4 linked regions of the Astyanax mexicanus genome follow. The protein of the gene in region 1 interacts with the protein of each later gene in a pairwise test. Links are inferred from orthologs where the notes say so. Each region holds a gene or a part of one and is shown in the gene's direction. Other genes may lie near its edges. The genes, in order: creb5b, kifc3, spred1 and efemp2a.

Region 1 (7,419 bases):
GAAGCTGAACAGACAAAATAAAAGTAAGATAAAAACTGTAAATGTGCAATTTTATTAGAACTGTTCATAGTTAACGTTCTCAATGCATTTAAGCAGGACCCTGAATCCACTGTTGAATGGTGAAGGGTGAAGATTTTGCCTTTTTTATTCCACGGTAACAGTGATATCCTTTCTTTAACCTTGTGCAAAGCAAACCTGTGCCAGTTAAAAAGAGCTACAGACTGTTTTTTACATTATCAAGTTACAGCAGTATCACTATTGCGGTGACCTTGAAGATCAGTATCAAAACTTGCCATATTACTTTACCTCTCTACACTATGGGTATTTAGACCTTTGTGTAATATGAATAAGGTAAGAAATGTATCATTATTTTATTTATTAACATTGGTTCTACTGTCAGCTTCAGGTGCGTGCTCTATTCATATTTATTTATTGTTATATATTGTATTTTAATTAGCACAGATTATCTTCATACATCTTCAGCTCAGCACATAATATATTTAACATATACAACAGGTAAATTAGATGTGGTATAGTTCTGTGATTAAATGTTTATTAATTATTTTAAAAGTGTAACTGTCATAATTTGTCTAATAACGTAGATGTGTACACTGTATGTATAGTGCAGTGTATAGTGATTAATAAACATTATTATTGGGTATTCTTACCTTTAAACAGAGAACACATGTTTTTAAAGGTATGATAAAGCACTTCCTTTTCATAAATAAGGTACCGTGTGGTACGACTGTGTTACGATGTTACCTGCATCATATTACGTCTGCTTGGAAATTATCTCAGGGCAAAGAAGTCACAGCTTTGATTCTGTAACACCATCTTCTAAATCCAACACTTGCGGGCAGACATAATCCTGCCAATAATTTATTTACCCACTGGCACTTCCATTATTTAGTATGAACTGAGACACTGGTGAGCCTGGCACAATTAGTCACGCTGGCCTGCTGACCAGGGGATGAAACCAAAAATGCCCCAAGTGCAAGAGTGTACCAGTGTGTGTGTGTGTGTGTGTGTGTGTGTGTGTGTGTGTGTGTGTGTGTCAGATAAACTGGAGACAGCATCATTTAAAGTAATTCTAGTACTATTGCTGCATAACACACTATAACAGTGGTCCTCCTTACAGATAAAAAGATGATGTTTTCTACAAGTAGAGCAATGATCCTAAATGACCTAAACCCTATTTTTTTTTCTCTTGTTCTTGTGGTCAGAACTTGATCATCAATAGAAGGACTAAAAGTTGTGCATGGCAACACATGGGTTAGAATTTATAAATCTCGCAGCATCTACTTTTTGTTCTGACAGTCAATCCCAAAAAAGTTTTTCAATTAAAAAAATCAAGACATAGGAAAGAATCACAGTTCATGTCAGTTATGTAGTTCTCTTTGAAAGTTTTCTTGCTCTTCCATACTTGTACTTTTTGGTGTTTTTATATATTTATAATCCTTTTCTAGTTTTGTGTACATATTTCCATCATCATATTTCCATCATTGTCATATTTCCAACAGTTATTGTGTATAAACCACCACTCTTAACAAGTTAACCCACATGGTGCTCCTTTCTTATAATAAAAGTAATGAACAAATCTTATTAAAAATGTCAAGAAGAATATTTCTTCGCAATCTTTATGCTATTTGGAGATCAGCTCACCTTTATGTCACTGAATTATTTCCAGTAACTCGAATTTTGACCATGGGGAGTCCAAATATTTGCAGACCATTGTGGCTAGACTGCGTCTAATACTTCTGTCAGTTCCTTTAGAAGAGTAAACGTTTCAGCACTTGTGACATTATATTGTTAGCCACTGTTGTACTTTTATGCTCTGCCCAAGGTTAAATATAGCCAATTTATTGATATGTGTGTTGTGGAAGGACGCGTTTTCAGACAGGCTGTCTAGACAGTGGCAGTGAAAACGGCTCTGTGTGTGAGTACAGCTCTCTTGGTGGAATCGTGTTTAAAGCTCTAGAGTTGAATGTCGATTCCCAAATGCCTGGAATCAAAGAACTGGCTTTTTGGTGAATTTGTTCCCAGCCCATTAAATTGATAGGACATTATAACAACTACAGTAGTTAACTACACAAACAAACCAGTTAGCCATAATATTAAAACCACTACTTAGTATGTGTTTGTCACTTTTTTTGGGTAGTGTGAACACTGCATACAGGGATCAGCCCACAAGACCTGCCTGGTGTTTTGGAGATGCTCTAACCAAGTTTTGTAGCCATCACAATAAATGCACAGTGGCTCAGATCATTATGATGATCCTTATGATTGCCCTGCTTCTAACACAACTACCTAATATATCCCTCCCCTAGAAAGGTACAGCAATAAAATCCATTTATTCATCTGTAATCAGACTAAGACAGTACTGGAATATAATTATCTATTATAATATTGTAAATCAAATGTATTATATACTTATATATTTTATTAAATACTTATCTCATTACTACATGGTTTAGAGTTCCAGTGACAGAAATATGTGCTTTAACAGGAATGCAGTTGGAGGTGTATGACTATTGTATTAATTTGCTATGTCTTTCAATTTTTTTTTTGATTAGTGCTCAAAATGTGCCGGTACTAACCAGTTAATAATAGGCATCTCTTGCTTAGATGACAACTTTGCACATCTTGATATTTTCTCAGTCAGGTTTATGAGGTTGTCACCTGGAATGGCTTTCAGGTAACAGCTGTGCTTTGTCAAGGGTTAATTATATTAACTCTTTAGGTAATTTAAATAACTACTTGAGGAGGCCACATAAAAGCTTCACAGAGTATTTGGTTTTGTTTAACACATTAAGTTTGCTACATGGTTCATTATGTGTTCCTTCATAGTATGGATGAGTTTAATATTAATTTACAATGTAGGAAAAAAAACATTGAATAAGAAGGTGTGGAAACTTTTGACTTGTACTGTACATAAGTTTATAATAAAACATAGCACAAAATTAAGGAAATTTGTGTTTGTTAGATTATTTCTTTGTTGTAACAATGCTTCTTATGCTTCTTCCATATCATTGAAAATACTGTTAATTATAAATTTAAATGCTGCCACATTTGTAAGAAACATGCATTTGTGAGATGAACAGCAGAGCTGAGTATGTGGGTTTGAGATTAAGAAAAATTTGCCAAATCTTCTCTGCCATTGCCAAACAGCTTATATTGCTGTTGCTTTTGACACTTATTTTGAGCTTCTGGTACAGCCTGATTGGCACCTTATTGGCAGCACCAGTGAGCCTGGGCACTGCTATAGTGGTCAGTAGGTATCTGCTCCAAGAATCAGCTTGCTACGTTTGACAGATGTGGATAGGACCAGTGCAATAGGGCTTCAACTTCAAACTGGTGTTCCGCAAAAACAAGTTGCAGCATTATTTGAAGTGATCCCTGGTAGCATTTTCAAACTGAAGGCCAGGTTCCATATAATAAGGGGTTTCAGGGACAGACAGAAAAGTTTGCATCCCAAGTAGAGACTAACATGCATGAAATTAACATGCTTTCCAATGAAATAATCTACCAAACACAAATTTTCTCACTTTTTATGCTATGATTATATTATTTTGCTCTGGTTTAAATCACTTGATAATTTGGTGTCACGGTTGGGAGCAGGAATGAGACATGCAAGTATTTATTAAAATCAAAGGAATAAAGAAATAAAAAAACAGAAACTAAAGGAAACACTGATCACATAGATAACATAGGACCACGAAACCTGAATGACATTAGATGTACAACCAAAGACAAATAACACTGGGACAAGGGAGACTATAAATGCAAATGGACAAAAAATACAAATAAAAAACACCTGGGACCGGGTAACAAGGGGGCAGAGCTAAAAAACGAAAAATGAACATGTGAGCAACAGGGGCGGAGACACAGAATAAAGACAGGGCATGTGCAGAGGAGGGTAAATAAACCAGAGAGACGCAAAACCAGACGAGAAGGTGACACTTGGAGCATTTTGGAGTCCAGTTAAACTTGAGTAAAAAGTGCTAACACCCATTACAGACAGTACAGGTCCTAATGACAATAATACAAACTTTAATGTTTTTTTTAATGTAAAAATGTTTGCAGTATTTGCATTAAGACATTTTATTATAATTATTATTCTTTCTTTATTTTTTATCATTTAATTAATTGTTTGATCCGTAAGTGATATGAGTCGTCTATTTTTCACTTTAAAGTACTTTAAAACTCAATGTCCTGCAAGAAGTATCCTACTATCTCCAGCCTGAACTCAGCCAGCTGTGAGCTGTGAGTGTTGCGGCTCCTCCTCGACCCCGCCCACATCCCTCAACCCCCGCCCCGTTTCCACGAAGCCCCTCCTCGCGGACCGCAATGATTTAGAAGTTCAGGAATCCCACGTGACGTCACCGGAGGGTGATGTAATGCTTCTGTAAATAGCTCGTATTGTAATCTCTCCTCAGTCCAGCGTGGTTCCTTCAGAAAGGCGCTGCATCTTCTCCGCGCTGCTGTGGTAAGTCTCCAGGCTGCTGCTGTGAACTGTGTGTAGACTTTTCTGCTGCAGGAGAAACAGAGAGAAAGAGAGAAAGAAAGAGGGGAAAGAAAAGAAGAGAAAAAACAAACGCACGCTCGCGGGCTGCGTGAACTTGAGCTCGTGCCGTTGGCGGTGATGATGGCCGTCCGTGCTCTGGAGCTCGAGCGCGGGTGACAAGTTGCTTTTGTGCTTTGATGCGTCCCGGGGATGTTTTTTTCCCTGACGTTGTCGTTTGGTGCTCCGAGTTTTTTGAACGTTTGAAAACGTTCCTTTGTGAAGTTTAGCTGCAAGTAACAGGTTTGTGTTCGCTCGCGCGTGTTTGTTTGCATGAGGAGCAACAGCAGAAACAGCAGGAGCTCGTGCCGTGATCTCCAACCGGCATTTCTGCGTTTATCAACGTTGAATAAACGTCAGCGTCATATTAAGTTCATATCACCGTTTTGATTCTGAAACATAAATCAGTGTTGGTGCTGAAACATTGTTTTGACATCTTATCTTTTTTTTTAAACATTAACTAAACTCTAGCCAAAAAAAACTTTCCCTATTCTTTCCAAAAGTATGGTGGTTCGATAGAAGGTTTACTAAAAACAGTAGTTCTGTATGTACAGAACAATGAACACCATGAAAAACTGTGCATGTTGATGAAAAGGTTCCTCAGATGGAAGCAGAACAAGTAAAAAAAAACGTTGACAAGTTTGTTCACACACTTTATTTACTTTCTAGTTGGAGTTTAAATATTTTATCTTGTGATCAAAATGTAATAAAGTGGTGATACAGTCATAATAATGATCATATTTACAAGATACATACATCACGTTGAGTGATGTTCCAAGTTAAAATTTCAACATTGATTTATGTCACTTATTAACCTTTTCATAGAAATTATTTTAAACATGTTCTCTATTTTTTAAAACTCTTGAATGTAGATATTTTCTTTCTATTAAGTCATACAGTCAAAATATAACAATAAGATGTTAAAAACATAATAATGATCATATTGATACGACAAAAACATTCCACTAATAACAAGTTGATACAGCTGACATTATTTTAACTATTTCAACTTTGAAGGTCGGTCATGTGCCAGCTGGCTAAACTTTGCTTTGTTGTTTTGAAGTTTATGTCACTGAAGTTCTTGCTGCTGCCCTCGTCAGAGAACCGGTGCCCAGATAGTTAACATGCATATGTGGTGGTCTGTATGGGTAGCTTAATGGACCCGGCAAGTTTTGTTCGTAGGCTTTTTTTTTTCATACTGGCTCATGAACATTGGATGTGGATGTCAGTGATGGGACCTGTAGGGGTTGGTTAAACGTGGGCTTAATCTGGGTTGTACATTGGGTTGCATGCACATGGAGCGTGGATGAGACCCATATGACACTAAGGTGGTCGGACTGTGTGATATGGCCCATTTGGGAACAAAGTAGCCCAAAACACGTGCTGCTACAAACTTATTTCTAGCCCATGCCCACATGAAAGCCACCTAGCCCATGTTGCACCAATATGAGCACGCTCACTCGCGTGCTTGTTTGTTTGTGTCTGTCCCGGTCGGCCGGGCTCGCGCTCTTGCTCTTTTCCTGCGCGCGCGTGGTGACAGCAGCTGCATGCACGCTTCTGCCGCTGCTGCTGCATATTGTGGTGTTCCGTGCAGGCACATGCAACTGGTGCGCGCGGGTTCTCTGGGACCTGTACCCATTCATTGATCCGCGCCGCGCGTGCACATGCTTCCTTGCCTTCACTGTGTGCTCGTGCCGCCTTTGATATGAAAGACCCCCCGGGTTTTGCTGCTCTGTCCCGCAGGAGGGGCAGACACAGCGCGAGCTGACAGCCAGCAGTCTAGCAACCCACTGTCTGTCTGTCTGTTTGTCTGCATGCATGCATGTCTTCCTGTCTGTCCCACTGCGTTTAGATCTGCGTCGCTTTGAATCTCGCTCGCTCTACAGTATAGTTATCTTATCGCGTTTGTAAATTTCTTTGTTTTTTTTTCAGTAAAAACACGCGCTCTGCAACAGAGCATGACGTCATGCTGCAGGCCAGCCCGTGTGTTTGATTAAGCGCTGAGATACTGAAGGATTGAGGGTCTTTAGTGCTGAGCCAGCACACCGGGGGGTTTCAAAAGCCCACAGGCTGAAACACTGTTTATAATCTACAGTCCCACTCACTAATGACGTCTAGACTCACTAGCACGAGCAACAAATCAAGTGACTAATTAATGGTATTAACACTATTATTGTTGATTTCAGCTCTTATCATAATTAACCAATAAGAGCCCAGACCCATTTCTGAATATTGATGCCAAATTCAAAATTAAATCAGATAAATTCAGTGAGCAGCTCATTCATGTTTTTTCTTATGGTGGCCACATAACATGACTGTTAATATTTTAAGCTTAAAACCTTGATGTTGCACAAATTACACTTAACAGCATTTTCATAACTTTTTATTTTAACATTTTGTTCTAGCAAGCATATCAGAACTAGTTATACGAAACATAAAACTAACATTCATTTAAAACATTTGTATTGTTAAATGTTTAGAACAGATCAGTAACAATAAAAAGTACACTTTAAAAAAAGAGAGCTACTTTTATCTCAAATACTAACCAGGCACACCTACATTTTGTAGCTAACTAAATAAGGTCAGATAAATGAACGCACATTAACACACTGCCCTGTAGTGATGCTGTCAGGATGTTCAGTAGCTATATGTCGCTTAGAAACTTCATGAGTTCAAAGTGAAGGACCTTAGCTTTTAAAGGGTGTTAAATTAACAGCGTTTATGTTCATTTCACACTGCGGGTGTTAAATTGTAAGAACCACAGTGTTAATCTAACACGAACAGTATTAATTTAACACTAGCAAATTAACCGTGTGCTACTGGCAACTACTACTATGTTTATAATATCTGTGCATATC
Region 2 (7,193 bases), on another chromosome or scaffold:
GTTTGGTGTCAGAAATCATTTGCTTCCATGAGCTATTTGGATGCCCCTCATTAAGGAAACAAACATGGAACCTCCCCACCAGTTGTAGAAATGCGATTTCTGTCTTTTTGGTTGATTTATCTCTAAAAGTACGCAGCAGGATTAGGCAGCAGACTTTGTTTGAGGGAGGGATCTGTACCTGTTCTTCGGGCAAGCGTTATTCTAGTAAAAAAAAAAAAAAACTAAGTTGTTTGCTTTGCTTATTATACTTTTATACTGCTGCAAACATCACAGTTAAGTTTAGGGCCTGGCAATTATATATATATATTTTTTTTAAGAAATGTGACCATATTTTCATACAAGATACAAGATGAGACAATTTTTTGTTTATATCAATATAGATTATGATGCGTTCCAATTAGCTGTGTCAGTTTTCCTTTCTTTTCTCCCAGTTTGTTGATACCAATACATAGCAGATCTTATCATTCCATCTCTAAAATATGAAAGTGCATGTCACCCAGCCCTAATTGTAATTATAATGTGACATTTGAATATCATTTAAGCTCTTATGTTGGAAATATTGTCACTAAATACAGTCATATTGTAGAGTTTAGACATGTGTATTACTTTAACTTTGTCAGTTTAGATATTGACCCACAGTTAATATCATATATTGTGATATTTGAGTATCGCTGCAGCTCTAATATTATAGATATAGTAGTAAATATTGAATACAGTCTTGTCGTACTTGTCCTCAACATCAGAGTGACAGATGGACGGAATAGAAAGAGGGAGGGTAGGGGAAAGGATGAATGATGGAGGGAGGGGGGCTATTCTCTCCTCTTTTTTTTCTCCCTCTCAGTGGGAAGGCATAGGACTTTGCTCCACTGTTCAGGAACAGGCAGGCAAACTATAAGAGAGAGTTTTGGTGGTGGTTCTTTCTTCCTGTCTGGTATTACCATCGACAAAATCGATCGACCCAACCACCTGTTTCTTCAGTCTGGAGAATCTTCATCATTGAATAAAAATGGAATATCGTTTTGATGCAGATGATGGAGCCGTGTGATTGTCCTGTATTCTGCAGAACAGCCAGAGGATTATATCTGCCGGGTCACGTAACACCCGTAACACCCTGTGACGCTCTGAATGGGAGTGAACCCTAGGAGGAATATTGAACTTCAATCAGTAACAGTTTAACAGTTATGGGTTTTCCTGAGAAGTGGTGATACGCTGTATCAGGGGTGTGCCTGTGTGTGTCCAGGTAGGTCAAAGGTGACCAGCTGGAGCGATAAAACAGCTTAAGGTGTGTTTAAATACCTTACACACCTTCTCCAATCGAGGGCGACAGATGAGGACTGCTTGCCTGTTTAGTTATCAGAGCGCTGGAGGATTAGCTAATGCGTAAACCAGCATTAGGGACCTGGTCCGTTCTGCTTGTCCAGCTGATACACTCTTCCTGACAGCTCACGGTCAGGACAACGAGGGCAACGAGGGATCTGTGGAGGATCTGCAAAGGATCTGTGGAGGATATACGAAGTCTGGACAACAGCTTTACATCGCTGAAGGATGGTATACTCACTTTAAGTGATGCTCTAAAGAAAAGAAATCAAGGACTGAAGAATATTAGGGCTGTCCTTTTTCCGATTTCTTTTTTCCTAAACCGTGTTTTAACTTTTTTATAAGACACTTCCACTGTTGGACATTTTTTCCTAGTAGACATTTGTTTTTGAAGGCTGTTTAAGGTTATCGAAAGACTCTCCAGACCTTTCAATTTTTGGTTTTCATTTTTTAAAACTGTCCTTTGGTGTTTTCCAAAACAGTGTTTTAGTGGAAACTTTTCATTCATCTCTATGTATTGCTCTACATCTAAAATCGTCTTCACAAAATAGACTGCAAAATTTACCTTTGTTGTTATTGTGTATCTCTGTTCTTTGCTTTTATTTTTTTTGCCTTCATTTAGCGCTTACTAACGACTGAACATCTAATTTTTTTTGGGGGGGGAAGCAGACTGAACAGTCTATTAAATATATATTTTTTGTATCTTACCCCATATTTCTTAGCAATAGCTTCTTGCTTAACAGTATAGATTCTAGATCTTTTAAATATATATTTAATTTTAACAGTCCAGCTTTTTTGAAAATACATTATGATTATGATTAACAAGAAAAATTTACCTTTGTTGTTATTGTGTATTTCTGTTCTTTGCTTTTATTTTTTTTGTCTTCATTTAGCACTTACTAACGACTGAACATCTATTTTTGTTTTTTGTTTTTTTCTGGAGTAGCAAACAGAAAATTCTGTTTAACATATATTTCGGTATCTTACCCCACTTTCTTTTTTGTCAGCTATCTGCTTTACAGTATAGGCTGTAGATCCTGTGAGTATACTGAAGAATTTAACAGTCCAGCTTTTTGAAAATACATTATAATGATTAACAAGCAAAATTTACCTTTGTTGTTGTTGTGTGTTTCTGTTCTTTGCTTTTATTTTTTTTGCCTTCATTTAGCGCTTACTAACGACTGAACATCTAATTTTTGTTTTTCTTGGGGAAAGCAGACAGAACAGTCTATTAAACATATATTTTTAGTATCTTACCCCATATTTCTTAGCAATAGCTTCTTGCTTAACAGTATAGATTCTAGATCTTTTGAATATATTTCATTTTAACAGTCCAGCTTTTTGAAAATACATTATGATTATGATTAACAAGCAAAATTTACCTTTGTTGTTGTTGTGTGTTTCTGTTCTTTGCTTTTATTTTTTTTGCCTTCATTTAGCGCTTACTAACGACTGAACATCTAATTTTTGTTTTTCTTGGGGGAAGCAGACAGAACAGTCTATTAAACATATATTTTTAGTATCTTACCCCATATTTCTTAGCAATAGCTTCTTGCTTAACAGTATAGATTCTAGATCTTTTGAATATATTTCATTTTAACAGTCCAGCTTTTTGAAAATACATTATGATTATGATTAACAAGCAAAATTTACCTTTGTTGTTATTGTGTATCTCTGTTCTTTGCTTTTATTTTTTTTGCCTTCATTTAGCGCTTACTAACGACTGAACATCTATTTTTGTTTTTTGTTTTTTTCTGGAGTAGCAAACAGAAAATTCTGTTTAACATATATTTCGGTATCTTACCCCACTTTCTTTTTTATCAACTATCTGCTTTACAGTATAGGCTGTAGATCCTGTGAGTATACTGAAGAATTTAACAGTCCAGCTTTTTGAAAATACATTATAATGATTAACAAGCAAAATTTACCTTTGTTGATTTTGTGTATCTCTGTTCTTTGCTTTTATTTTTTTTGCCTTCATTTAGCGCTTACTAACGACTGAACATCTAATTTAGTTTTTCTGGAAAAGCAGACACAAAAGTCTATTGAACAAATATCTCAGTATCTTACCCCACTTTCTTTTTAATAGCTACCTGCTTTACAGTGTAGGCTATAGATCCTGTGAATATCCTGAAGAATTCATAAACAAGCCTTGAAAAAAAAGGAATAGGCAAAATTTACCCATGTTGTTTTTGTGTATCTCTGTTCTTTGCTTATATTTTTATTGTCTGTCTTTAGCGCTTACTAACGACTAAACGAAGCAGATAGAACTGTCTATTAAACAAACATTTCGGAATCTTACCCCACTTTCTTATTAATATAAATAGCTACCTGCTTTACAGTATAGGCTATAGATCCTGTGAATATACTAAAGAATTTAACAAGTCAAGCATTTTGAAAATACTTTATAATAATGACGGGAAAAAGTTACCCATGTTGTTTTTGTGTTTCTTTGTTCTTAGCTTATATTTTTGTCAACTATTTTTATATTTTTTTCTTGGGGGATGCAGACAGAATGGTCCATTGAACTTTTTTTTTAGTATCTTGCCCCATATTTTTTAGCAATAGCTTCTTGCTTAACAGTTTAGATTGTAGCTCTTTTGAATATACTTCCAGATGTGAATTTAACAATTTTTCAAAAATGTAGGAGAAAGTTGAACATTTTCTGGGGATTCTCCCCATTTTTAGTATAGGTTTTAAATATTGTTAAATATACTGAAGAACTGTATCTTTTTTTTTCTTTGCTTGGTTTTCTTTTAAAAGAGCTCTACAGTCTTCATCTACAGTTTTCAGTCTGAATATCTTATAATGGAAAAGTAAACATTGTATTTTATTGGTTTAGATGCTTAAGATTTAAGCGAAGTTTTCTGAATAACTTTCTGCACTTTTTTTCTACTATTTCTTTGCTTTTTATTTTAATTGCTTTGCAAAATGGACTTTTTTGGACATCCAAACTTTTGTTTTTATCATTTTTCCTGAAGAACATTTGAAAGCCAATCAACAACCATCATTGGACAGAACTGTCTGAAGTGTAAATATCCACTTTCAGTCTTTGATGGACATTTAAGGGCTCTGTTCTCCGCCGAGCTCTGGGCGTTTGGGTTTCAGCAGGTTTGTGTTTCAGTAAAGGATCTGTTCTGGCTGAGCGTAACAGTCACCGGAGGATAGTGTTCTTATCCTCCAGATGTAACGTCCTTCAGGGAAATTTCCCTGCGGAGCAACGGATGAACCGAACGTCCTGGTACTAGCCGCCGAGACCATGTACGTCCTGTGCACGCTCATCCTGCTGTCCATCCACAGCCTGTTCAAACGACCCACAGCGCTGGAGGCCCGCGAGAATCCAGCTCGGGCTGAGGCTCTGGAGGACAGACAGAAGCCCAGGAAGGAGGCACTTCAGCTGGGCCGAAAGAAGCGGGCCAGACCCCCTCTGCCTGGAAGTTCTAGAGCTCCACACAGTGAATGTAGAAACAGAACCGCTGGAGCCCACGGGCAGAGGAAACCAAGCAGCAGAGCACACCTGCAGAACACAGGTGACCCCTGCGAGAGAGTCCAGGTGAGCGATAAGGAAGTTCTGACCTGATATTAGCCTCAATATTTAATATTAAAAACAAGGAAGTGCTTTTTGGAAAGTATGGCAAGAATGGTTCTTGTAGCACTTGTGGTGCTCATATCGAAGGCGTATTTTTAAGGATTAAAAAGAGATTGAAAATGTTTGGCCAGAAATAAAAAAAAATGTTTTTTATGTTTAAGTAAAAAGACAAAATAAATTATTTTATTTCATTTTTTTATCATATATTTTTTTTTATTTATTCTAAATTATTTGAATTTGAAGTAACATCGCAATGTTTCCTCAGCCCATGGCACTGTATTCCTTTTTTTTTTATTCTGTACTTGCATATTCGCTGTTTTCCCAGATTAGGAAGTTTCGAGCTGTACAGGGCTAGGATAGCAACATTAGCTGAGCTAACTTAGCCTTAGCATTGGTTAGTTTACCAATGACTTACTGCATTATTTGTGTATAGTGATTCTGTGTAAAGCTCTGCTGAGATATATTTATGATTTAAAATAGCACCAATACTGAGCTATGTTTATAAAAAACACTGCTGAGGAACACGTTTAGAGTAGCACTGTTGAGCTATATCTATGATTGGAATAGCATTGCTGAGGTAAAAGTATGATTGGATTGGCAATGCTGAGGTAAATGTATGATTTGCAATGGCATCTCTGAGGTGAATGTATGATTGGAACTGCACTGCTAAGGTAAATGTATGATTGGAATGGCACTGTTGAGGTACATGAATGATTGGAATAGCACTGCTGAGAGAGATCTATGATTGAAATAGCACTGCTAAGGTAATGTATGATTGGAATGGCTCTACTGAGTGTTGTGTTGGTATGATTGCGACTGTGTTCAAGTAGTCTTGTAGTTGTTTGAAAATGCAAGACAAAAAACATATTTAAAACTGTGGTTTATTAATTTATGAGTGTTGTTTTATCGGTTCTGCTGAGTCTTTAAGGGTGAGGTCTTATTCAAGGCTCAGTCTGGGTGTGTGAGCGGTCCGTCATGGCCCGGTGGAGGGAGAGTTGGTGTGTCAGCAGTTCTGCAGTAATCAGCTGTGGAGGAGTTTGACCTGCTAAAGTGGTGTAAATGAGTGACTCAGGGATATCGGTTTGGGCGGGGTTGGTGGGTGGAGGTAGTTGTGTGTTCGCAGGAATATTATCACTGTGTAACTGTTCTCTGGAATTTCTTTAACTCTTTCTCTCTCTGATGATTTTATTCCTGGTATGAAGCGTAAATCTGATTAAAATCTCTATTTAGCTTTCTTTGATCTGACCTTGACCTGGGTCCAGGGTTTTTAAAGGCGATGCTGGTGAGAAGCTGCTCGTGTAATATTATTATATTCCTGGTATAAAGGGTAAATCTGATGTTTTGGCAGTGAACAGTGTTCAGTGCTGACTGAATGGATCAGTTATGTAAGCAGGACGCAGTTTATCTAAACGCTGCCATCTCTTTACTAATCCAACTTTAATTCAAACTCTCTCTCTGGCCGCTGACCCAATCTGTAAAACATCACATCAAATCAGTTACCCTGCTTTTATCTCTTTACCCACTAATTAGTCTTCATATCTAAATTGTCTAAATATGTTACTTTTAGATCATTGTAGATGTGGCTAGACCTATCACAATAATCTATTGTTGTTTTGGATAATGTGCTGTGCAAGCTGATACTGCAATAAACAATATTATTGTCACTATTAAGTTAGAATAGGCCTATGGGCTATACAAAACATGAAGTTAATAAAGTGCTTTGCACAAAATCAGTCTCACATAAAGATAGATATCTCACCAGTTATAATCTTGCCAGTTTCAGTCAGTTTTAGAATGAGCCATTAAAGGGCTGTGTCACTTTTATGCAAATAACTTGTTGCTGGCGATGCCACATGTTGATGCTGAGCATTTATCACACGTTCGTGTTAGCTTGTGCTAAATGGCAAAACACGATAACTGCGATAAATGCTGCGATAACAGAAAACTCAATATTTGAAAGTAGTTACATCTCACTTACACCCTCATCTGCTGACTTGAGACAGATAGTAGGTACAGATCCCTCCCTCAGACAAAGTCTGCTGGCTAATCCTGCTGTGTACTGTCAGGCCGAAATGCGCTTCTTCAACTGATTTAGTGGGTTCGGTTTTGCGGCGTCAGACGTGGACCAAACAAGTCCTAACTGTAAGGTGTGTTTAAAACCGATTGCTTCTAAAGTAGGCAGCACGACCTATTTTTTTCAACACCTTAAACAGAAGCGGAGTGGGAGAAGTGCTGCTATTATCAGAATGAACGCAGCCACAGCACTAGCACACCATCCAAAGTAAAA
Region 3 (7,509 bases), on another chromosome or scaffold:
GTCAGATATTTAATGCCTAAGCTAGTGGGGCAGAATACACTTTCCCCTTTGTCATGTTACCAAAGATAAATAATGCTATATAATTTAATGTGTATTCATTAATAAAGCACATAGCAAAGGCAAAATTTAATCCCAAAAGGTGCTCCAGTTTTAATGCTATGAAAGTAGACAGTATAGGATGTACAAAAACCTAAAGACCATAATGGTCTAGCATTTAAGAACCAAAATTCTCCCAACAGCAGCACCTCTGCTGGATATCTGGGAGACTCCTTCGAGCTAAACATCCTGTTGACCTTCTGTTTGGTATATTTTGCTGTGTGATCAACACAGGAAATGCATGAACATCCATATTTGTGAGATGAGAAAGCAGCCTGACTTCCTGAACTCTAAATACTCAAAAGGATAGAAGCATGCTGTTTAGAAATTTCAAAGATGCTCATTGTCTTTCTGTTAAGGGGAGACAAGGCCTACTTTATTTGAGATTTGTAGCTCATGATGGGAAACTGTATTCTGAAAATAGATGCTCGATATTTTCAGGTAGTTGCTGTTTACACACTTAAGCTCTAATAGAAATACATATTGAAATGTTCTTCTTTAAGTAACAAAGTAAATAAGCTGAAACCTTTATCTGACCTCTGTGCTAGTATCACATTTTGGGGTCAGCTTTTAGGACAGAGATAAAGCACAGTCTTGGACTACACAGATTTGAGGACTAGTATTAATGACCCAGACTAGGATCAATGACAAAATGTCAATAGACTCTGTTGTTGGTGTAGGTCTTTGAGAATCAATTGGTTTGGCCTTCCATATACAAATGTTGCAACTTTAACTTTGCTCTATCTAATCCAAAGAAACACGAAGAAAATTCTCATATATGACAACAAAGCTAAGTCGTATCTCAAGCTTCTCCAAGACACAAATACAACCAAAGAAATCATATTATTTGTGGCTGCCTGTTAGGGTGTAACAAAAATATGGATATATTTTGTTTTAAATGTTTGTATACTGTATTTTCAATTAATACTGTATGTAAAAAAGAAACAGTGGTTTTCCAACATTTTGATTTAAACAATTGCAATATATTGCCTATATTGCCTACTGTTTATATACTGACCATAGACTGTGTATAGCTGGACAGAGCATCGTCTCTTAAAAGTGAAGCCACCACAGGTCGGGCGCCCCCTGCTGTTCGGCTGCAGAAAGCTGTGTAACTCCACCCATCCCCATAGGTTTCAATGGCAAAACAGACAACTTTCAATCACGTTTTTTTCTAATATACTGTAATTCTACCTCCATTATTTAAATGCAACAGCTAATGTAACCTCTGCTTATATTGTCAAATTTTTATATCCCCACAGAATTCGGTTTTTAAAACTTTATTCGGCTCTATTCAAAAAAGGTGTGGTTATGGTAAAAGGGCTGCTTATGGGCGGGACCAATAACAGACCGTCAGCTCCGCTCCGCCCCGCTCTGCAGTCTGTGACCGCGAGGCAGCCCTCAGGGGCGGGGTTATTCAAATGAGTAGGCGGTCTCTCCACAGCCTTTCTCCCTCCTTTGGTCTCTACTGCGCAGACTCTGGTCTCTGAATCGCCAAAATGGCGGAAGATTTTGGCTTCATTTTCATTGAATGAATGGGAACCGCGACACGACGTCCATCTTTATATACAGTCTATGATACTGACATACTGAATTATAAACGGTGTATCATGTCATATCGCCACGTTCTTGACAGTACACAGCACTACTTGCCGACTTTTAGAGGACAGGATAGATGTGATTTCCAACAGTCGAATTTCCTGTAGCCCATATGTGTTTGGTTTCCGAACTGTTCTATATCATATTAATTTATCTTATCCTTTTGTGGACACTCTTCCTCAATATTTCCAAAAATAACATATGTACCTATGGTATGTAAGCTTATTTCAGTTCTGCTTAAATTCAGTGTTAGAAAAGTCTGCCTTTAGTGTGGCATGTACATTTGAAAATCTGGACACACAGCCAGTTTTAGCTCATATGAATTTGTTTTTTAACTACAGTGTTTAAACCTGTTCTATTACCCTTTAGAGGATTATCAGCAGAGGGCACTTAGGCCTAATCCAGATAATCCTATAACCTAATCAAATAAATACTGTCTTTATTTTACAGTGGACTCTACATTTTACTGGTGCGTGTAAAAAAGTTATGGCATAATTTTTTTAACATATATAAAACAGAATAAGGGTCCAATCTCACTCATATGCAGCTTTACATACAACTACATAATGAAACTAGCTCACTTTTGTTTCACTGATTAATGCTCGTTGCTTCTTTTGAGAACTTTTAACTGTCATGGAACAACTGATGGTATATCGGTGTTTCTTTCAAAGAATACAATACCAGTCAAAAGTTTGGACACACCTTAAATTCAGTGTTTCTTTCATTATTTTAATTAAAATTTTCTGCATTGTAGATTAATACTCATTCAAAATATTAAGAAAAACATGGATTTTTTAATAATGTTTTAGATTTTTTTTGATGACAGCTTTGCACATCTTCTCATTGTCAGTCAACTTCATGAGGTAGTCATCTGGAGTGACTTTCAGTTAACTTGTCAAAAGCCAACTACAATAATTTCTTGCCCTATTAAATATGTTTGACACCATCAGTTATGTTGTGAAGAGGTAGAGTTGGCATACTAAATTACCCCTATTTGAGTAATGTTCTAATCCATATTATGGCAAGAGCTAACTACTCAACTTCAATTTTTTTTTTACTTTGAAAGTATCCTTAAGTGCAATCATAAATACCATCAAACATTATGATGAAACTGGCTCTCATCAGGACATGATTCCTTATGTGTTCCTACTTAGTTTGGATGACTTCAGTATGAATTTACTGAATTAATTTTATGTAGGAAAAAAATAAAATAAAAATAAAAATATTGGATAAGAAGGTGTTTCCAAACTTTTGTTTGGTACTGTATATTATGATTAAACAAAATAATTACTTGCAGTTTGTGTTGTTTTTCAGTGTCAAATATTTAGTGTGACATTTCAGATTTTATCAAAAGTTTTGTTTGGAAACAGCATGGGAAAAAAGTGTCAGTAGCATGTAATTAATTATTCGTTTTTTTTTCACATGTGAACGAGAGTAAACCATTAAAATAGATTACAGTGTTAGTAAATAATACACAATCAATGAAAAACACAGCAATCAGCTTTTTTTATTGACACGCCCAAAAACTTGGAAAGTCAGGGCTCATCAAGAAATCCAAGTTTCCCATTGGTAATTACAAGTGTGTGGTGGCATTTATGTGCACTCATCTCGTAAATAAGATATTTCGGACATGACTTGAAGGCAGCATAAGTTCAGCTTAGCCCAGCACTGCTTTAATTCAGTGTAATTCAGAAAGCTCTGTGTTTATGTGGCCTGTAGTTTTGAGAAACTGAGCAGCACACTTGGAAAACACACACTTGCAGATGAGCTCACACAACAAAAAGTGTGAACTTTGAGAGAAGCCATAAATCACAGTCAATGGCTCTTGTCTCTATAAAGCTAGTGCACTGAACTAGGTTAGCTAACTAACTTGAAAAAAAATAGACCACTTAAAACGATGAGATTCTTTGATTTTACCAAATTAAAAACCTCTGGAATATAATCAAGAGAAAGATGGATGATCACAAGCCAACAAACCAAGATGAACTGCTTGAATTTTTGCACCAGTAGTGGCATAAAGTTATCAAAAAGCAGTGTGTAAGACTGGTGGTCAAGATGCGTGAAAACTGTAATCAAAAACCAGGATTATTCCACCAAATATTGATTTCTGAACTCTTAAAACTTTAAAAATATGAATTTTTTTCTTTGCAATTTTTTTAGGTCTGAAAGCTCTGTATCTTTTTTTTTTTTTGCAATTTTAGCCATTTCTCATTTTCTGCAAATAAATGCTCTAAATGACAATATTTTTATTTGTAATCTGGGAGAAATGTTGTCCATAGTTTACGGAATAAGTCAAAAATGTTCATTTTACTCAAACACACACACACACACACACATATATATATATATATATATAGCACAATCACATAGACTGTAGTTTCTGGTGTATATTAACACCATAAGAATGTCTTCTACACATAAACGGTGCTTGCTGTATGTATTCGATGTAGAGCCAGTTGGGATACTTTTTAAGTATTTAAACAAATGTAACTAAAACTAAATATCACGCTAAATGAAAGTGGCGGCATTTGTCTTTATGTCTTCCTTTTTGTTTGTTTGTTTGCTTACTTGCTTGTAAGCATAATGTAAAGCAGAGAGTCCATCACCAGCGTGTGTAGCTTCTCTCGCTCTCCTTCTCCTCGCTTTCAGCTTGGGCTCCTCTGCTGCCTGCATGGCCAAACTTCTTTTGGGAACTGGTATGGGGACTATATGAAATCCTCACTTCCCGTCCCTGAATCAAGCTATTATGAGGGTGGGGGCATGTGGGAAATATTCAACGTTTGTGTTCGTTAAACAACAAATCACGCTAGTTGATTCGGTCTAAAAATGAGTTTGCTGTTTTGTTAATGGTGTTTTATTCGGGTTTCGTCGCGGAAGGATTTCAGCGGAGAAGTCAGGCCAAACGCTTCCGCCCAGTTTTCCGAGGTGTGCATTGCCTGAGTTGAAAATGGAGTTCGTGTAGCAGCACAGATCTTCTGAACTTCCCGAGGAGGAGACTCTGTTAATCTCGCTATTTCTTTAACGCGAATTCGTTGGATACTCAATTAAGGACAGATATTTATCGTTTCGTTCGTTGTTTTTGAGTGCCTGCGCTCGAGCCAGCTAGAGAGTTATAAACAGGAGCAGCGCTGTTTTGTGTTTTCTAGTGTTGGCTGAAACTTCAAGTTGCCGTGGGGAGAGAGAGAAAGAGAGAGAGGGGAGTTATATAGTATAACGTAGCGTAGCTCGATCTCCAGCTAGCCGGCTCACGGACCGTGGCAGATTTAGCTAGTAGCTACCTATCTATTTCTCGCTTTGTTTTGCTTGCAATCTGAAGATCAGGACTGCAATTCTGTCTGGGATTTGCCTGTGTTCGCAGATCGAGGATGAAGAGGACAGCCACTCGTTTCCAAATGGATTTTACTCATTGGGAAGATAGAGATCAGTGGCTGCGGTCGCCGTTCTTATTCTGAACTCGCCTTGTGGGAGAAAACTGGAAGCATGCAGCGCCCCAGCGCTACACAGTTGCTTTGTGATTAATAATAAAACAAAAAAAAACTGGCACTTTCTTTTAATGCGAACGAAAAGAAAATGGTGATATTTGCGGATCGTTTCCCAGCCTTGACTGCGTCGTCGATGCTGTTTCCAGGATTTGGATCCCCGTGAGAAAAAAATGAGCGAAGAATCGGCAAATCCAAACAACGAGTGAGTACCAATATCTCTCAGTTCACAGTTCCTCTGAGCTGCTGGACCCCGAGGATGTCTGTGTGTTTCTGTGTGTGTTTCTTGTGGTCTTAATGCATGACAGAGATCAGAAAATAACTAACTTACACGGGTTTGTTTGTAAAGCGAAGGTTTTAGTAGTTAAGTTAGTTAGCTTGCTAACTTAAAATATATTTCCAGCAGAGCCGTAATGTTATTTTTTTTTGTTTGTTTCTGAGCCAGTTTTATTTGGCTAGTTAGCGTTAGCTTGGATTTAGTTGTTGTCATGGTTATTGAATGTATAGTTGGGTTAATAGCTAAGCTAACGTAGCTAGCTAACTAGCTAACCTAACTAGTTAGTTAGCTGTTTAAACTTGTGTGTGTATATTATCTAGTTAGCTATCTAGCTAAATACCTCTAGCTAACAATGTGTTTTTGTTTTCTTTTTAGCTATCTATCTATGGTTTTCTGAATTAAATTTGCCTTATTAAAAAGGCCCATTCAGATATTTAACGCTGTCTAACCTAGCGTTAGTTGACCATCTAGGCTATCTATTTAGCGAGTATGCTGGGTCGTTTCTAGTTAGGATAGCTAACTAGCTATATTATTTAACAGTAGTTTATTTACATTATTCGATAGCTAGTTAGTAAAATACACGATTTAACCAGCTAACAGTAAAATTTCTGTAGTTCTCTCGAAGCATTCGTAGAAATAACTATCGCTACGTTGTAAATTAGATTTAAGTGGATGGCTAGCGTAAGTAACAAGTTTATTAACGTTGTATCTGATACAAGCGTTACAAAATACACCCGTTTCAAACGAATAAAGCTCCCAAACTGAGCTAGTTAGTTAATAGACACGTCTTTTCTACTCCACGGTTTTGTGTTTTTTGCCCACAATGAAACGCGGTTTCGCCTTATAAAAACATATCCACGATCTCTGGAGCGAGAGCTGAGAGCCTTATTTCGATTTAACAGTTATATGATTTTTTTAAGTATTAAAGAACATGTAATACGTGGCATTTGGTTTCGTTTGCGGGTTTTATTACCGCAATGTCAGGCTGAAAGAAACTGTGCGGACGCCATATTTTTCTCAATCACTCTCATTTGCATATCACAATCCTCATTCATAAAAACGCCAAAATGGCAGTGTTTGTCGCTCAGATTAGGCCCAATTGAGAGTATAAAGGAATATATTCGATTAACAGTGCGAGTAAGGCTGTTTTCGTGCGGATTTTGGTGCTTTTCTCGCCCTCCGTGCCCGTGTTTTTTTTAAATGGGCTGATCGCTTGCGTGCGCTTGTTGACAGTCACTGAGAAAAGCTTCGGCCACGTGACCGCCTCCATTCATAAAGTACCTGGCTTCTCATTCACACTGAGCTGCACTGTACAGTGTGTCTCCACACTGAGCACAGGGGTCACACAGCAGATCACAGACCCAGCAACGACAAATATTCATCTGTTTGACTCTTAGCTATATCTGTACATCTTATTTTAGGCCATTTTTGTCAGCAGCAGTAAACGACGACGTGCACATTCACATTCACGGTTTCCCAGGCTCTCTCTCTGTCAGTATCTAATACGCCCATGTTCTCTTGCCATGTCTCTCCTGTATCAGATCCATTCATGTCATGTAGCTAGGAACTCTGTGTCCTTGAACTAGTCATGTGCTTCCACAAATGATGCCATTCATTCACGTTTCATTTGTCCCTTTTTTACACTGAAGGGAAATCTCCAATAATATAGCACAGATATCTACACATTCCACAGCTATTTATTTATTTATTTTTATTTTAATTATTCATCACAATGCTCATTCATGGTATAGACAGTCTTGTTGACAGTCCTTTTGCGCAATGCTTAGGATCAGCAAATGCTGCTGGTGTGGTGAGGCGGAGGAGGGTGGAGAAGAAAGAAGAGACAGCACATGCCCAAGAAGCAAGACGACACCATCCTTTAGCAAATTTTCCCTCCTCTTTCAGTTAAACAATAAACATCCCCGCTTAACAGTGTGGGTGATATTTGAGCCGCCCAGAAACAAAGGATTATATACATGTCTGTTTGTGTGTTTTCCATTTCTAACAGCGTGTCGCCTCACCTGTGACGCAGTGTTGATTTCGCATTGTTCCAGAAAG
Region 4 (7,023 bases), on another chromosome or scaffold:
TTAACCTCTATCTTACCCACTACACGAACTCTGCGCACATCCTCGACACTTTCAAGTAAGTGTGTGTGTATTATAATTTCTTTGTTATTTACAAAGACAATATAACGTTTTGAGTTCTGTGGAAATCTGTTGTTCTGCCAGTGGGGGTCACTGTCTCTGTGTGTCATGCACTTTCCAGTCAGTTGCCTGTAGTTTCCTGTGTAGTCACACTGAAACCCCTCTGGAATCTGAATTTCTGTTTATATCATTAAATGTTCTGATACATTAAGCAGTGATGCATTCAGCTCAGACCTCAGAAAAGAAGTGAAAACATCTCGTAATACAATACATGCATAGTTTCAGTTACACAGCATTAAATGAAATGCTCTTCTATTTATAATAGCATAACGTCTCTCTTACATTATTTCCATCTGTCTCGCTCTTCTATTCTCAGGCACCAGACTGTCTGGACCAGGTATATGGGAGTTATCAAAAGCTGCATCCTCAGAATGTATCACGAGTGAAGAATAGTATTTTTCCATTCTTCCTGTCCTCTTTTCTCTTCTCCCTTAATCTTAAACTGCACTGGATCCAGCCCAGCCTTTCAGCTCACCTTTTGGCCCTATCTTTATTTAAATCCCCCGTTTATCATTTTCCTCCTTTAATCCTCACCCAAATGTCTCCCTCCAACAGCTGGCCATCCCCCCCCTCCCTCCCCCATTCCCCTCCCTCCCCCCATTCCCCTTTATCCTCAGCTCATTCTTTCACCCCTCGGCTACTGCCAATCATGGGATGGCTTGTAAATAAACAGAGCATGCTTTCTACACATAATCTCTGCTGTGTCCTCCTTGACCTCACTGTAAATGATTTAATCATTGCTATATAATTGCTATAAATGATCACAATGGATCTGATTTAAACTTTTTTTGTTTTATTTTAGAATTTAGTTCACATGCAGCCAGTTCAGCACTGGAACCGGTTGCATGCTGATTGTATGACTGATGAGATGAGATCATTCTTTATTAGTCCCTTAATGGGAAAATTCACAGTTTTCACAGTGTAAACGTGACCTACCACTAAAGAAATATATATATATTATTCTTCATATTATATTTCTTCTTCTTCTTATTATTATTATTGTTATTATTATTATTATTTTTATTATTATTATATTTACACAAAAATATACACATGCATATAGAAACATAAATATGTTATCTTCATTTTAACATTGAGAGATAATAAACTGCTATGCCAAAAGTCATGGGATAGCACTGCACTGAGAATTCATTAACTGTGTATGTTGTAAGGAGTTATCTTGTGAGTGAGGCTAAACACTGGCCCGCATGCTCATTGCAGATCCATTGTGACAGCCTTGTAAAATTCTGGAACCAAATGTTGAATATAGAAACGGGAGTTTATATCGGTGGGTTTGTGCAGATAGCCAGGCCATTGAGAATGTACTATTTTCACTTAGAGCAAATGGACTCTCTTTCTTCTGTCCATTTCTTCTCTGATATAAAAACTGAGGCCTGGCTTGGTTAATGCACATTGTTTGACCACGTTCACATTGCAAGCCACATTGTTCAAATTCACTTTTTTTTTTTGCTCAGATAGGATTTGGCTATCTTGCCGGTTACCATTCATAAAAGTGATCTGTATCTGTGTGTAATGTGAACGAATCTGTTCCTGAAACGCCTCACATGCGCACATTGATACCTGCATAAACTTTGTCTTCTTTACCACCAACAAAAAACGCCATATTTACGAGACGACTCATAGCTTTATAAAGGGAAATGGATGTGTCGTTAGCAGCTCATATGTGGAGCATCTTTTACTGGAGTGGACAGAAAACAGCTGGTCTGAGGTTCATGCTCAGGTCGAAAATGTGAGACAGAAGCCTGTAGCGCATGCATGAAAGAAAAAAGACGCATGAATTCTGATTTGACCGTTCATATTTATGTCGCATGTCCATGGATTGGATACATATCCAGTTTAGGACCACATATGAAAGTGATGCAAGTCTGATAAAAAACAAAAAAAAAAACAGATTGGGCACAGCCATGAAAAAATCAGATCTGAGCCACATTGAGCAAAAAATTTGATTTGAGTTACTTCAGCCTGCTAATGTGAACGTATCCTTTAACTTTGTTGCATTTTAAAGTCACAATTAAGAATTAAATGTTAACTGATTTAGTCCTTGATCCAATACCACTGCATTTAATAAAATTGATGAAATTGAGTAAGAGCGTGGTCAAAAAGTGTCTTACTAAGCTCCTGTTTCCAGCCACCTCCACCAAACTACCCTACTTCATATACTTTTTAACCTCATGATGTGATCACAGGTGCAATGCTACAAAAACGTAATTCAGTATCTCACAAACATTTCAAATTCAACATAATTCAAATTCGAAACACAAAATAAATGTAAACTGATTTGCTGCAAAATTAAAGAATAAAATGAATGCAGCTATAAACAGCTATAACACTAACGTTCTGTATCGTTTAATCGTAAGCCCTTTAATGCTATACATATCATATTGCAAAGTTCTCACCAATACACAGGCCTACTAGTCACATGAAGGGACCAGGTGTAATTGGGATCTGTATCTGGATAGGTACTTATGCTTAAACCATATGGCTCGCTGGTCATTTGTTGAACAGTTGAACCAATAAGTGTGGGTGTCAGGAGTCCCAATGTGATGTCTGTGTGTGGCCACCTAGGGGGCTTCAATTTGTCACCATGTTGTGGGAGGTACATAGATAGAGTCTGTGGGTGTTCTGAAAATGACAGACCTGTAACGGACCTCCGACACGGCCTATTAAACGAATGAATGCTCTCTCAACTCCTGCACTGGAGTTTAAAGCTGAGAGTCGAGAGAAAGCACCTCCTGGAATGTTACACTGTTTTTTTTTTAAGGGTTCACATCTCGTTGAGCATTAACTATGTCTTTGGGTCACTTCTGAACTGTAATTATTACTGTTCCCCCACATCTCGTGAAGCAGTGACTCTGCAGAAATGGACAGCCGGGCCTGTATTTAGACAGTGAATAACGTGCAGAACAAAACCCTGGATTGTTCCTGTGCTGCATGCAGCTCTGTAGGAGGAAATTGATTCAGTGTGAGAGCTGTGAGAGCTGTGAGAGAGTTGGGATAGAGCGAGTGCACTATATGGCTATGGCTGTGGAGTTAATGAAATAAAGGTGTAATCAGTGTCACTCTTTACAGCGCCTCACATCTAAACATTTCTGTCTTTATATCATCCAGCGAGGACCTCCAGTTTAAATATTTGGACAGGAGGAGGGAAAAAAAGAGGTGGATGACTTTTCCAAGTAGACGTGTGTCTTTTCCTCCCTTTTTAGCACACTCACCCTCTCTCTCTCTCTCTCTCTCTCTCTCTCGCTCTCTCTCTCTCTCTCTCTTGATTTTCTCTCTCTTTTTCTCTCTCTCTCCCTTTTTCTCTCACGTTCCTTACTCTTCTTGCTAATTTCTTTCCGCATTCCACCAGCTTCTCTCCCAAGGATATAAATATCTGGCTGTGGAGTGAGGGAGGAAAAAAGATGGGTGAGATGAAGGGTGAATTGAGGTGGGAGGGAAACATGGAGAGAAAAATGGAGAGAAAGTTGCGAGCTGTGGGGGGCCAGTTTAAATGAAACCAGGTGCGTTGGAACTATTTGTGTGTATTTGCTCTGTATGTATGTGTTTGAGTGTTTAAGTGTGCGTGTGTGTGTAAATGTGTAGGGTCTGCTGGTGGTGGTGGTTTGTGAGGAAGGGTTCAGGGGGGGCGGTCGAATGTGTGTGTGTGTGTGTAAGTGTGTGTGTGTAACTGTGACTGTGTGAATCTGTGCACTGTTGTTCTGCCGGCAAACCGGACAGATTTGGAATTTTGGAATTTGGGCCGCAGACCAGGAATTTTCATCCTGGGGGGTGAGGAGAGGAGGAGAGGAGAGGGGTGGGGGGTGGTCAGAGGGGTGTCTGGGGGGCGGAGGACGGCGGCGCAGGGGGCCTAGAGGGGGGGTCGGAATGGGCTGTCCCTCTCTTCCGTCTCGCCCTCCTCGGGATACATTCATACACTCCAGCTGTCCGTCTCCACACTCCACTCAGTCAAGCTGAAGAGGTAGAACAAGGAAGAAGGAGAAGAACAAGAAGAGAAGGAAGAGGCAGCTAAAGAAGAGAGAGACAGAGAGAAAAAGAGGAAGAGAAGGGAGAGAAACCTTCACCGGAAGAGAAGAGAAGAAAAGAGGAGAGACAGACAGAGAGAATCCACAAGAATCCAAGGCCACAACAGGAGGAGAAGTGACCTGTGAGTACAACATGCTTCAGATTTCACATTCACTAAACAAGGGATTACAATAAAAGTAAAAAAAAAAAAAGTACTAAAATATTATCATCTCAATATAGAAGGTGAGAATAAGACATTCAGTACCTCATGAAAGGAGAAAAAGAAAAGAATAGATGAGTAAGATACTGCATAAAGAGGAAAGATAGTAAGATACAGTAGAAACAGAAGAAAAAAAACAACAGAAAAGTAAATTTTTTCCTTGAAGGCTCTCAGTACGTCACCCATGCTCCACAGCTCCACTCCAACCATTCACAGCCTCAGCGCCCTGGTGCTACTTCACTCCGGCCACAAAAGTGCTGGAATGACCCAGAATACCCTCACTGTGCAGCCGTCACGCAATCCTATCTCTTACAGTCAGCCCCGCTGAGACGGGCCAGACGCTCGTGGCTTTAGTCCTCCAGTGTCTCTTACCCAACCGTCAGGATGCTGTTACTGTTACGCATCACGCTTCATGTACACACTATACTATTGCAAAACTTTCCAACCTCGCTTCCAGCTTTCTTTCACAACCAGCACTAATGTCACTCACCTCCTCTCTTAGACCCCCACTAGAGCAGCAGCTCTGGGCAACTTTTACTATAAAAAAAGGAGCTTGGAAAAGGCTGGAACTGTGTGAGTGGCTGTACTTTCAGGATTGTCTATCTATAGTTTTAGGCTGATTTGTCCAGTTTTATTCAACAAATGAGGCTTTTTAAAGTGACTCTTTGGTCACTTTAGTAGGCCTGTCACTATAATTATGTTATGGACCTATCATACTTATCAATTAATATCCATTGTCCATCATGGATGTTAACATACAAATAAATGTCACTAATATTTTATTCAGTCAGGCATTGAACCATGCATCAGTAACATGACTGAAGTATTCACCTCTCAAACTATTATTAATCAAATGTTCATTGTCTCTCACAAGGGTGTAATAGCATAATAGCATCATTATTTCTGAGAGAATATAGAATATATCATCCAATACAAAAAAACAAAAAAAAAAACAGTTATCATGACATGTCTACTGCTTAGCAGCGCTAACAGTTAACAGCTCAAGAAAAACACGTTTTGGCCCCGCTGAAAAAAAAAACACAGGTGCCATAACAAGGAGAGAAAAAAAACACGTACAATTAAACCCCCCCAGCATGGTGTCACGACTCAGAACAGTGGCCTACTGTACAAGCACAGGCCACTTCTTCACCGAATGTTCACGCAACGCTTCATCACGTTTGTTTGTATATTTTTGCAATTACTGACTTTTGGCTGCATTATTTTATATGGCTCAGGGCTGACTCCAGCATTCATTCAACGGCAAAGAAGCATGCCGGGCAGTCGCGCCTACAGACCTGTGCAAAAACACCTCAGCAATTTCTTTAAAACTGTTTATCTTGGTAGAAAAACAGTAAAAATGAATTCGAAAAAGTAGGTGATGTCTGGTTTGAACTGGTTAGAAGAACACATATTTGTAGATGTACATTAAGCCTTTCAGAATGGTTTGGTGTGAAACACTGTGTTCTAGAGTTTAAGGGGTCAGGCCTTTGAAAGTTCATACCTTACCCTACATTTGTGCCCTATTGGAGATGTCCACATAGCAGGTAAAGTAGCCAAAATGTTTTTTTCTTAGTCCTTTCCCACTATATTTTAAATGTGAACTACATCAGATGTTCAGTCCAAACTGTTAAACTGGCGCCTACGCACAGAAAACAAAGCTTCCATAAGGTTTTTGTTTCATCTTCTCCAGCATCAAAGTAGCTCTCAAAGTTCCAGGGTTCCTGTTGCATGAATTTCATTCTGGCTGTTTAGGCTGAGTCGCATTGATGCTTATTGTATATATGTATTGGATTTCAATTTCATAAAATCCACAAAGAAGTGGTTAAACTTTAAATTCAAAAGGTGGAAAAAGGTTTTGTGTTTTTTGTCATTCACATTGCTATGTAAAAAAACATGTAAGTGACAAAAAAGATCATATTTGGTCTAATTTTACCAAATGTGTGACTGTAGCCTTAGACAGAGGTGTGAATAAGGCTTAAGTAAATCTCAATCCCAATCTCAGTCTTACCATTTGAGTCTCAAGCAAATCTAAAATCATAACCTTTATGTCTCAATCAGGTCTCAAGCCTTAATTATCAAGTCAATCTCAGTCAAATCTCAAATCTTACCATTTAAGTCTTAATCAAGTCTCAAATCTTAACCTTCAAGTCTTATTTGAGCCTCAAGTCTTGACCTTCAAGTCTCATTTAAGTCTCAAATCCTAATTTTTATGTCTCAATCACTTCTCAAGTCATAATCTTTAAACTTGACCCTCAAGTTTCAGGTTACTATGGTGATAATTAAGCAAGCTGATTACCAGCTATAAGTCAATCAAATCTCAAATCTTACCCTTTAAGTCTTAATCAAGTCTCAAATCATAACCTTCAAGTCTTAATCACTTCTCAAGTCTTAATCATCAAACTTGACCTTCAAGTTTCAGTTGACTGAAACTGATTTCCAGCTATGAGTCAATCAAGACAAGTAAAACCATTGCACGTAACAAGTCAAGCAGGTAACAAGATAAAAATACAAATATATACAGAAAAATATATAAAAAACATAATTTTAGGTGATATATCTCAAGCCCAAGCCAAGTATAAGTCATGAATACCAAGTCAAAATCAAGATGTTTTTTTTTCAGTATCAAGTCTCAAAATCTGATATTTGAGACTTATTGTAAGTCT

What was found.
Region 2: the proteins of creb5b (region 1) and kifc3 interact in binary tests that used the Homo sapiens proteins (3 or more experiments, as listed by UniProt). The two-hybrid records come from large-scale screens. The link is inferred for Astyanax mexicanus from reciprocal best matches to the Homo sapiens genes CREB5 and KIFC3.
Region 3: the proteins of creb5b (region 1) and spred1 interact in binary tests that used the Homo sapiens proteins (3 or more experiments, as listed by UniProt). The link is inferred for Astyanax mexicanus from reciprocal best matches to the Homo sapiens genes CREB5 and SPRED1.
Region 4: the proteins of creb5b (region 1) and efemp2a interact in binary tests that used the Homo sapiens proteins (3 or more experiments, as listed by UniProt). The two-hybrid records come from large-scale screens. The link is inferred for Astyanax mexicanus from reciprocal best matches to the Homo sapiens genes CREB5 and EFEMP2.

Annotation. Positions count from the first base shown.
Region 1 is NC_064413.1:42,689,714-42,697,132, forward strand, and holds the start of creb5b (cyclic AMP-responsive element-binding protein 5), read left to right. Parts: upstream 1-4,413; 5' UTR 4,414-4,486; intron 4,487-7,419. UniProt on the Homo sapiens protein: Binds to the cAMP response element and activates transcription.
Region 2 is NC_064416.1:4,392,324-4,399,516, forward strand, and holds the start of kifc3 (kinesin-like protein KIFC3), read left to right. Parts: upstream 1-4,187; 5' UTR 4,188-4,576; coding exon 4,577-4,870; intron 4,871-7,193. UniProt on the Homo sapiens protein: Minus-end microtubule-dependent motor protein. Involved in apically targeted transport. Required for zonula adherens maintenance.
Region 3 is NC_064421.1:14,570,681-14,578,189, reverse strand, and holds the start of spred1 (sprouty-related, EVH1 domain-containing protein 1), read left to right. Parts: upstream 1-4,505; 5' UTR 4,506-5,347; coding exon 5,348-5,379; intron 5,380-7,509. UniProt on the Homo sapiens protein: Tyrosine kinase substrate that inhibits growth-factor-mediated activation of MAP kinase. Negatively regulates hematopoiesis of bone marrow.
Region 4 is NC_064417.1:45,816,981-45,824,003, reverse strand, and holds the start of efemp2a (EGF-containing fibulin-like extracellular matrix protein 2a), read left to right. Parts: upstream 1-4,003; 5' UTR 4,004-4,282; intron 4,283-7,023. Other genes in the region: fibpa (fibroblast growth factor (acidic) intracellular binding protein a), read left to right, coding at 1-55, 434-503. UniProt on the Homo sapiens protein: Plays a crucial role in elastic fiber formation in tissue, and in the formation of ultrastructural connections between elastic laminae and smooth muscle cells in the aorta, therefore participates in terminal differentiation and maturation of smooth muscle cell (SMC) and in the mechanical properties and wall integrity maintenance of the aorta.